Tamandua tetradactyla: one gene and its partner. The protein of the gene in region 1 interacts with the protein of each later gene in a pairwise test. Links are inferred from orthologs where the notes say so. Each region holds a gene or a part of one and is shown on either strand. Other genes may lie near its edges.

The links. The genes of interacting proteins can lie anywhere in the genome.
Region 2: the proteins of LGALS8 (region 1) and APEH interact in binary tests that used the Homo sapiens proteins (3 or more experiments, as listed by UniProt). The two-hybrid records come from large-scale screens. The link is inferred for Tamandua tetradactyla from reciprocal best matches to the Homo sapiens genes LGALS8 and APEH.

The regions. Positions count from the first base shown.
Region 1 is NC_135333.1:7,145,925-7,149,674, forward strand, and holds the start of LGALS8 (galectin-8), read left to right. Parts: upstream 1-1,353; 5' UTR 1,354-1,431; intron 1,432-2,475; exon of another isoform or gene 2,476-2,577; intron 2,578-3,750.
Region 2 is NC_135341.1:36,493,448-36,497,197, reverse strand, and holds the start of APEH (acylamino-acid-releasing enzyme), read left to right. Parts: upstream 1-1,531; 5' UTR 1,532-1,707; coding exon 1,708-1,719; intron 1,720-1,794; coding exon 1,795-1,927; intron 1,928-2,528; coding exon 2,529-2,655; intron 2,656-3,042; coding exon 3,043-3,136; intron 3,137-3,244; coding exon 3,245-3,320; intron 3,321-3,409; coding exon 3,410-3,573; intron 3,574-3,736; coding exon 3,737-3,750. UniProt on the Homo sapiens protein: This enzyme catalyzes the hydrolysis of the N-terminal peptide bond of an N-acetylated peptide to generate an N-acetylated amino acid and a peptide with a free N-terminus. It preferentially cleaves off Ac-Ala, Ac-Met and Ac-Ser.

The DNA of each region.
Region 1 (3,750 bases):
CAAAATTTATAAAATAAAAAATCTTTTTTAAGTACTTGAACTCAATAACAGTTTTCTATTTGAAAACAGATGGATTTCTTGTTTGCTCCAAACTATCACAGAAATTCTTTCCTTCAGTTTCACTTGTCATTTAATTTTCTGATGCGCTGTATAAACACAAGCTGGAAGGCTTGACTAAATAAGGAGACTACGCCACTGAGGGAAGCAATATTATGAATCTCAGCACAATATTATGAATCTCAGCAACTTTGCAGGAACAAAAATCACAACAAACAGTAACAATAACATCATTCTTTTGCACTGTTAAGTTCGTATGTGTTAACTACTTAATGGCTAACTCACGCCAGATTTTGTGCTCCATGACAACTTTTTACCCACAGGATCTTAGTGCCTAACATATTACCTAGTATATGGTATGCTTATGGAGGTATCCAAAGATAATTTCTCAGTTGAATTAGCATACACATATACATAAATATATGCATGCATATAAATATACTGGCAACATGGTTACCATAAATATGGCTTTTTTAGTATTCTACCTTGTCTTTTTAACACATGACACAAGATTTATGTAATTTCAAGTAACATATAGTATTCTTTAGTACTAATACACCATTCTCTGCTAAACCATTCAAGAAAATTATTTAAAGATCAGAGAGCATCTTGTGCTGGTTTTAAACTGTTATGTACCTAGAAAAGGCTATGTGTTTTTTTTCTTAACATGTACAGGCACCAGGAATCGAACACGGCATGGCAGGCAAGAACTCTGCCTGCTGAGCCACCATGAAGGCCATGTTCTTTTAATCTATTCTTGTGCGTGAAGACCTGTTGTGAGTAGGACCTTTTAATTAGGTTGTTTCAATTGAGATGTGACCCCTCCAATTCAAGGTGGATCTTAATCCTTTACTGGAGTCCTTTATGAGAGAGCTCAGAGATAGAAACACTGAGAGAGAGAGCTTAGAGAGAAATGCCCTGTAGATGCTAAAACAGGAACCACAGAAGCTCACAGAGGAGGCCACTGGAACAAATGCTGAAGGCAGTGAAACTGGGGAGCCCAGCAGCTGCTGGCCGTGTGTCTTCCTATGTGACAGAGGTGTCCCAGATACCAGCAGCCTTTCTTTGGAGTCCAGTTATCATCCGGTTGGTGCCTTAATTTGGATATTTTTCTTATGGTCTAAGAACTGTATAAGTTATAAATCTCCATTATAAAAGTCAACCTATTTCATGTATATTGCATTCTGGCACCTTTAGCAAACCAAAACACATCACATTCTTTGAGCCATTGTGATGAATTAATTCAATTCAGATTCCTCTGAAGATCTCTCCTACCCCCAAGATTCTTTTATTTTATGACAAAATCATAATCTAGAAGCTTGCTTCTCACACCTGAGAAGACTATTTTGGACATGACCCTGTAAAACACAAGAGGTAAGCCTGATGAATTTGAACACAAGGGGTCTAGAGAACGAAGAGATTGAGTGCTCTTGGGTGATGCTAGTACTATTGGAAGATTAGTTTAAAGCAAAATGATTCAAGAGGAAATGAATCCATTTAGAGTGGGGAGAATGATGAGAAAAGGTAGATGGTACCTACCATGAAGCTTCTTTGGGAAGTAGACATGTATATAAAAAAATGAGAGTTGTGGTTTTGTCAAGAACACATTCCTGAAGACCTTGCAAAACTTAAAAACTGCATAATCCAAACCTCCATAATCTCATGGAAATAAATGAAAAACAAGAGTGAGTATTTTCAGAGCTCATAAATCTATAACTATTGTGACAAGATATTGCTTTAATATTACTTCTTATTTATCATTATTATCACCAAAGTTTTCAGAGTTCTGGATCTAATCTCAGAGCATGATACATCAAGGGAGTTGTTTAAAGTACTTCATGGTATTTTATTGTGTCTAACTCATGTTCCAAAGTTATTGTTTTGCAGGTGTATTTTCCCAGCAGTGGCAGCACCATTTAATGAGTGCTTGTATGCAATTGTTCCATGGTAAAAAAAAAAAAAAAAAGATTTAAAAATTATAACAAAAGCAAAACATAGCACAGTTACACAATAAACAAAATCACTAGCAGAACTTCCTGTCAACATAGTTCACAGGATTAATAAAAGATGGCAGATTTTTTAAAAACAGTTAATGCTGCCAAGTTAAAAGAGTATATACAGTTTATAATTCATAAGTGTAAAACCATGTTTTTTTACTAGAGATTCTTTAATTTGGCCAACTTATACTATTTCACATTTTGCTTATAAGACCTCATATTTTATGTCACACTATTCCTAAGTTTGCAGCTACACTGAAGCCATATAAATGTGGCTTCATGGGTAAGGAAAGAGGAAGACAAAGATAAATGAAAGACAAATGGATTAATCCAGAAGTGATCCTTCCACTCTTAGAACTCTATGAGTTCTTTGCAAATAATTTGCAACATCTATACCATTGTTTTGAACTGATTTTCACAGCTATCCATATGTTTTTTGGGGGGAAGTGATCTCAAGCACATTGCCATAATCATCCCTTCTCTCCTGCATCATCTGTTTCTCCTGCTCTACTGGATCATTCTTGTAAGTAGTCAATAGCCTGGTTATAAATGTTCAACATTAGGCTCTACAGTGGGAAAAAAAGCCCTACATTGTAGCAGTCACCTATTTCCATGGTGTAAATACACTCTTCCGGCCAACTGCAAGATACCAACAGGACACCACCAAACAAAGAGTTTGGAAGAGTTGTGCACAACTGGCACTTGCAGAGGGGGATTGAGCCAGCTCCAGTATACCCACGAAAGTGCTTTTTATTCAGGTCACAACCCATTAGTGGGTCTTGTAAACAATTAAGTGGATTATGAGCAGCATTTCTTTTTTTTTTTTTTTTTTTTTTTCAGATCTTCTTCCCAACTGCAGCTGGGAAGGGAGGGCTTTTTTTTTTTTTTTTTTTTTTAATTTTTATTTTTATTTTTTTTATTAACGGAAAGAAAAAAAAAAGAAATTAACACAACATTTAGAAATCATACCATTCTACATATGCACTCAGTAATTCTTAACATCATCACATAGATGCATGATCATTGTTTCTTAGTACATTTGCATCGGTTTAGAGGAACTAGCAACACAACAGAAAAAGATATAAAATGTTAATATAAAGAAAAGAAATAAAAGTAGTAGTAATAGTAAAAAACAACAACAAACAAACCAACAAGCAAACAAAAACAAAAAAAACCCTATAGCTAAGATGCAGCTTCATTCAGTATTTTAACATGATTACTTTACAATTAGGTATTATTGTGCTGTCCATTTTTGAGTTTTTGTATCTAGTCCTGTTGCACAGTCTGTATCCCTTCAGCTTCAATTACCCATTGTCTTACCCTGTTTCTAACTCCTGCTGAACTCTGTTACCAATGACATATTTCAAGTTTATTCTCGAATGTCCGTTCACATCAGTGGGACCATACAGTATTTGTCCTTTAGTTTTTGGCTGGATTCACTCAGCATAATATTCTCTAGGTCCATCCATGTTATTACATGGTTCATAAGTTTATCTTGTCTTAAAGCTGCATAATATTCCATCGTATGTATATACCACAGTTTGTTTAGCCACTCTTCTGTTGATGGAGATTTTGGCTGTTTCCATCTCTTTGCAATTGTAAATAACGCTGCTATAAACATTGGTGTGCAAATGTCCGTTTGTGTCTTTGCCCTTAAGTCCTTTGAGTAGATACCTAGCAATGGTATTGCTGGGTC
Region 2 (3,750 bases), on another chromosome or scaffold:
ACTTAAAAAATACAGATAAAATGAATTATCAGCCTAGCCCCAGGCCCTTCCCTCCCTCTCCCACCCACCCCAAGAGTTAACATCTTGATGCTTGTCATTCCTTCCTGTTTGTGTTCTTCAATTCTTTTTTATTTTAAACAGAAGCTGAAAGGTGCAGTAGCCACTGTATTCTAGCCTCCTGTTTGTTTCTACATGTCCTTTTCAAGTACTTCCATGTTCATCCTCCAATGCTCAGCCTCCAGAGAGATGCACCATGAATTTATAGCCTGTACACTGCACACACCCTGAGGGACAGATGCCATGTTTCCAGTTTTCCAATTATAAACAATACTGTGATGAATGTTCTGCTTTCCCAACTTTCCATCCAGATTGGTGGCCAGGGTCACCAACTGCTCCCAGGTCAGGCTTTGTCCTGAAAACACTGTGTGCACACAAATGTAAGTGGCCTCAGAAAGTGGGAATAATTTTTACTTAACTAGTTCGATGTGGTTGATGAGGAAAGGGGAGCTGTAGACCAGGCTAGTAGGGTCTCCATCAAAGGCAAGGTGGGGTACAGATAGACAGGACCCTGAGTTGTGTAAGGTCAGCCAGGCGTGGGGTAGATGGAGAGAGGGGACATCCCTGCTGGCTGCTGCCTGTCCTCTCCTCCAACTCTGCCCGGCTACTGTGGCAGTTAAATCTGTCCAGGGGGAGATCTCAGGTTCTGGGTGGAGTCTGACCCTATGAGGCCCTAGGCACCTGGGAAGGCAGGCACAGGCCCACCAGCTCAATATCCCCAGCAAGGCGCCAGTGCGAAGAGCGGGTGAGGGCTGGGGGAAACAGATAGATCTCTAGGCGGGCCTGGTGGTTGATAAGCGCAGAAGGCAGACCGACAGTCAGGACCTGCCCTACTATGTCTCTAACCCCAGGGGTCTGCTCCGCACGCCCCACCCGTGGCAGACCTGCGCTCTTCTCTCCCCATATGTCGGAAGCCCCTCCCGGTGAATATTTGCCGAACTCGTAGTGGACACGGAGGGACCCTCCTATCTGCCCAGAACTGCGGGAGACCCACGCTAAGGCAGGCCTCGACTCCTACCCAGCCCCTCCATGCCCGCCTCCACCTCATGGTCTCATTGGTTCGCATTTCTCTGCGGCCTCAGCTCCTGCCCCGCCCTTCATTTTCAAAGATTCATTGGTGCTCATCCTCTCAGGCCCCGCCCTCCGCCTGCGCACTGCCCACCCCTAACCGACCTCACTTCTTTCGCCTCACCGCCTAGTTTGACTCAGTAATCATCCCCTTCACGCGCAGGCCCTCTCACGTAGGCCTTTTCGCGCCTCACAGACCTCTCTCCTCTCTGAAGACCCGCCTCCAAATCTTCTTCTATAGGGTCGCCGCCAGGCCCACACACCCCGCCTCTCACCAACCTAGTCGGCCCCTGAAAGGGTCCTCTCCTCTACTGGACGTGCCCGGCCCCTCCCCTCCGAGCCTTCCGTACCAGAAGCTCAGACTCCTCCCTCAAGGCCCCGCCTCCTCAAGGCCCCGCCTCCTCAATGGAAAGCCCCGCCTCTCGGGCAGCGGTCTCCGCCAGTTCTTCGTGGGTCCCGCCCCTCCCAGATCGTCCCTGGGCGGTGACGGAAACTGGCTTGGCTGTTCCAGGCTCCGCCCCCCGAAGTCTCACTTCCTGGAGCCTGCGCGCCCCGCCTCGCCCCGGAGGTAGAAAGGCTACCATGGAGAGGCAGGTGAGGGCTCGGCCCGCGGTTCCCACGGTCCCTACCGCCCGGGCCGGGCCTGACCCCGCTGTGTCCCCTGCGCAGGTGCTGCTGAGCGAGCCCGAGGAGGCGGCGGCGCTGTACCGGGGTCTTAGTCGTCAGCCCGCGCTGAGCGCCGCCTGCCTGGGCCCAGAGGTCACCACACAGTACGGGGGCCGCTACAGGACGGTGCACACTGGTGTGTGTGTTGTGTGTGTAGGGGGATCGGGGTGGCGGGCACACTCCGGGTCCGTGCCCTCGGGTGGACAGGGCAGGGGTGTGGAGAGCTCACCACCTGACAGTGCACGCGAGTGTGTGGAGGAAGACGAAGCTTGGTGGGCATGGGGGTGGGGTGGGTGTTACTGCCCTGTGCTCACAGGTGTATGGGGACACTGTGCCAGGCCATTACAGAATGGTTCCCATGAGTGCATGAAGGTGGGGCACCAGAATGTACATAGGGTGGGGGAATAAAACTCATGCCTGGGTGCAGGATATAGGCCTTGTAGGGCTGCCTCCCCTACCAGTACACATGGGACATGAGTGAACCAGGGGCATCCACTGGGAAACTAGGCCACCCTCAGGATTCCAGGATAGGTGCTGGGGGCAATAGAGGTTTCTTTTCTATAGGTCATCAGCTCAGAGTTTGGAGATCTAGACTTGGGCTGTGGCATAGTGTTTTCCAGCCTGCACCCACGGTGTCCGGAGACATATGTGGGGTGGTCGGGCTGGGCCTTCCTGGGTGGAACCTGTGGCCAAGACTGACCAAGTCAAGTTGAGCAGCCTCAGACCTCCCCTCACAGAGTGGACCCAGAGGGACCTGGAACGCATGGAGAATATTCGATTCTGCCGCCAGTACCTCGTGTTCCACGATGGGGACTCAGTGGTGTTTGCGGGGCCTGCAGGCAACAGCGTGGAGACCCGGGGGGAGTAAGTGCAAGGGAGGAAGCTTGGGAGCAAGGCCATAGCCTTGCAAGCCTTTTATGAATGCCTCCCATGTGCCTGGGTGTGGGCAAAAGGTGCAGAAGCAGAAGGGGGCCCAAAGCAGGTTCCGGCCCCCAGGGAGTTGTGCAGCTTCTGGTGACATGGCCTGATAAGCGCTGGAGGCTCGCTCCAAACCCAGAGCTGGACTAGAGCCCACAAGGGGGGAGGTTGGGGAAAGGAAAGTCCCTCTCCCGTGGGACCAGCGGTGCCACAGAGGCTGGTATGGGTCCAAAGCCTCAAGTATCTTGTTTGAAAGGTTGTGGCCAGCAAGGGGGCTGGGTGGAGCTATTGGTGAGTAGGAGTTGATCCCAACCTGCTACCCTGGGTCCTCAGGCTCCTGAGCAGAGAGTCTCCATCAGGTGCCATGAAAGCTGTGCTGCGCAAGGCTGGGGGCACAGGCCCTGGAGAGGAGAAGCAGTTCCTGGAGGTGAGTCTTCCTGGTACCAAGGAGGGAAATTCAAGCAACTGGGGGCTCAATCCCAAAGATAGGGGCTCCACTGAGGTGTGGAGCAGCCTGACACTGTAATGTCCTCAGATCTGGGAGAGAAACCGGAAGCTCAAGAGCTTCAACTTGTCAGCGCTGGAAAAACATGGGCCCGTGTATGAGGATGGTGAGGCAACTGGCTGGTGAGCAGGCAGGGTGGGCCAGAGGGGTAGCCGTAGCCCAGGGCTCCTCCTGATTGGTCCTTCCTGCACCCAGACTGCTTTGGCTGCTTGTCATGGTCACACTCGGAGACACACTTGCTGTATGTGGCAGAGAAGAAGCGCCCCAAGACTGAGTCCTTCTTTCAGACTAAAGCCTTGGATGTCAGTGCCGGTGATGATGAGATGACCAGGTTGAAGAAGCCAGACCAGGCCATCAAGGTGCTCATAGCCGGCCAGTCTGTGCAGGCCCTACGGGACAGCCTTGGGGCTCAGCGTACTCCCTGTTCAAGCTGCACTTCTCAGAACTGGGGGTGCACTAGCTTCTGGGGGTAGGGCAGGGCCTTCCAGACAGGCCTGGGCATTGAGCATCTCGTGTTCTCAGGGAGATCAGTTTGT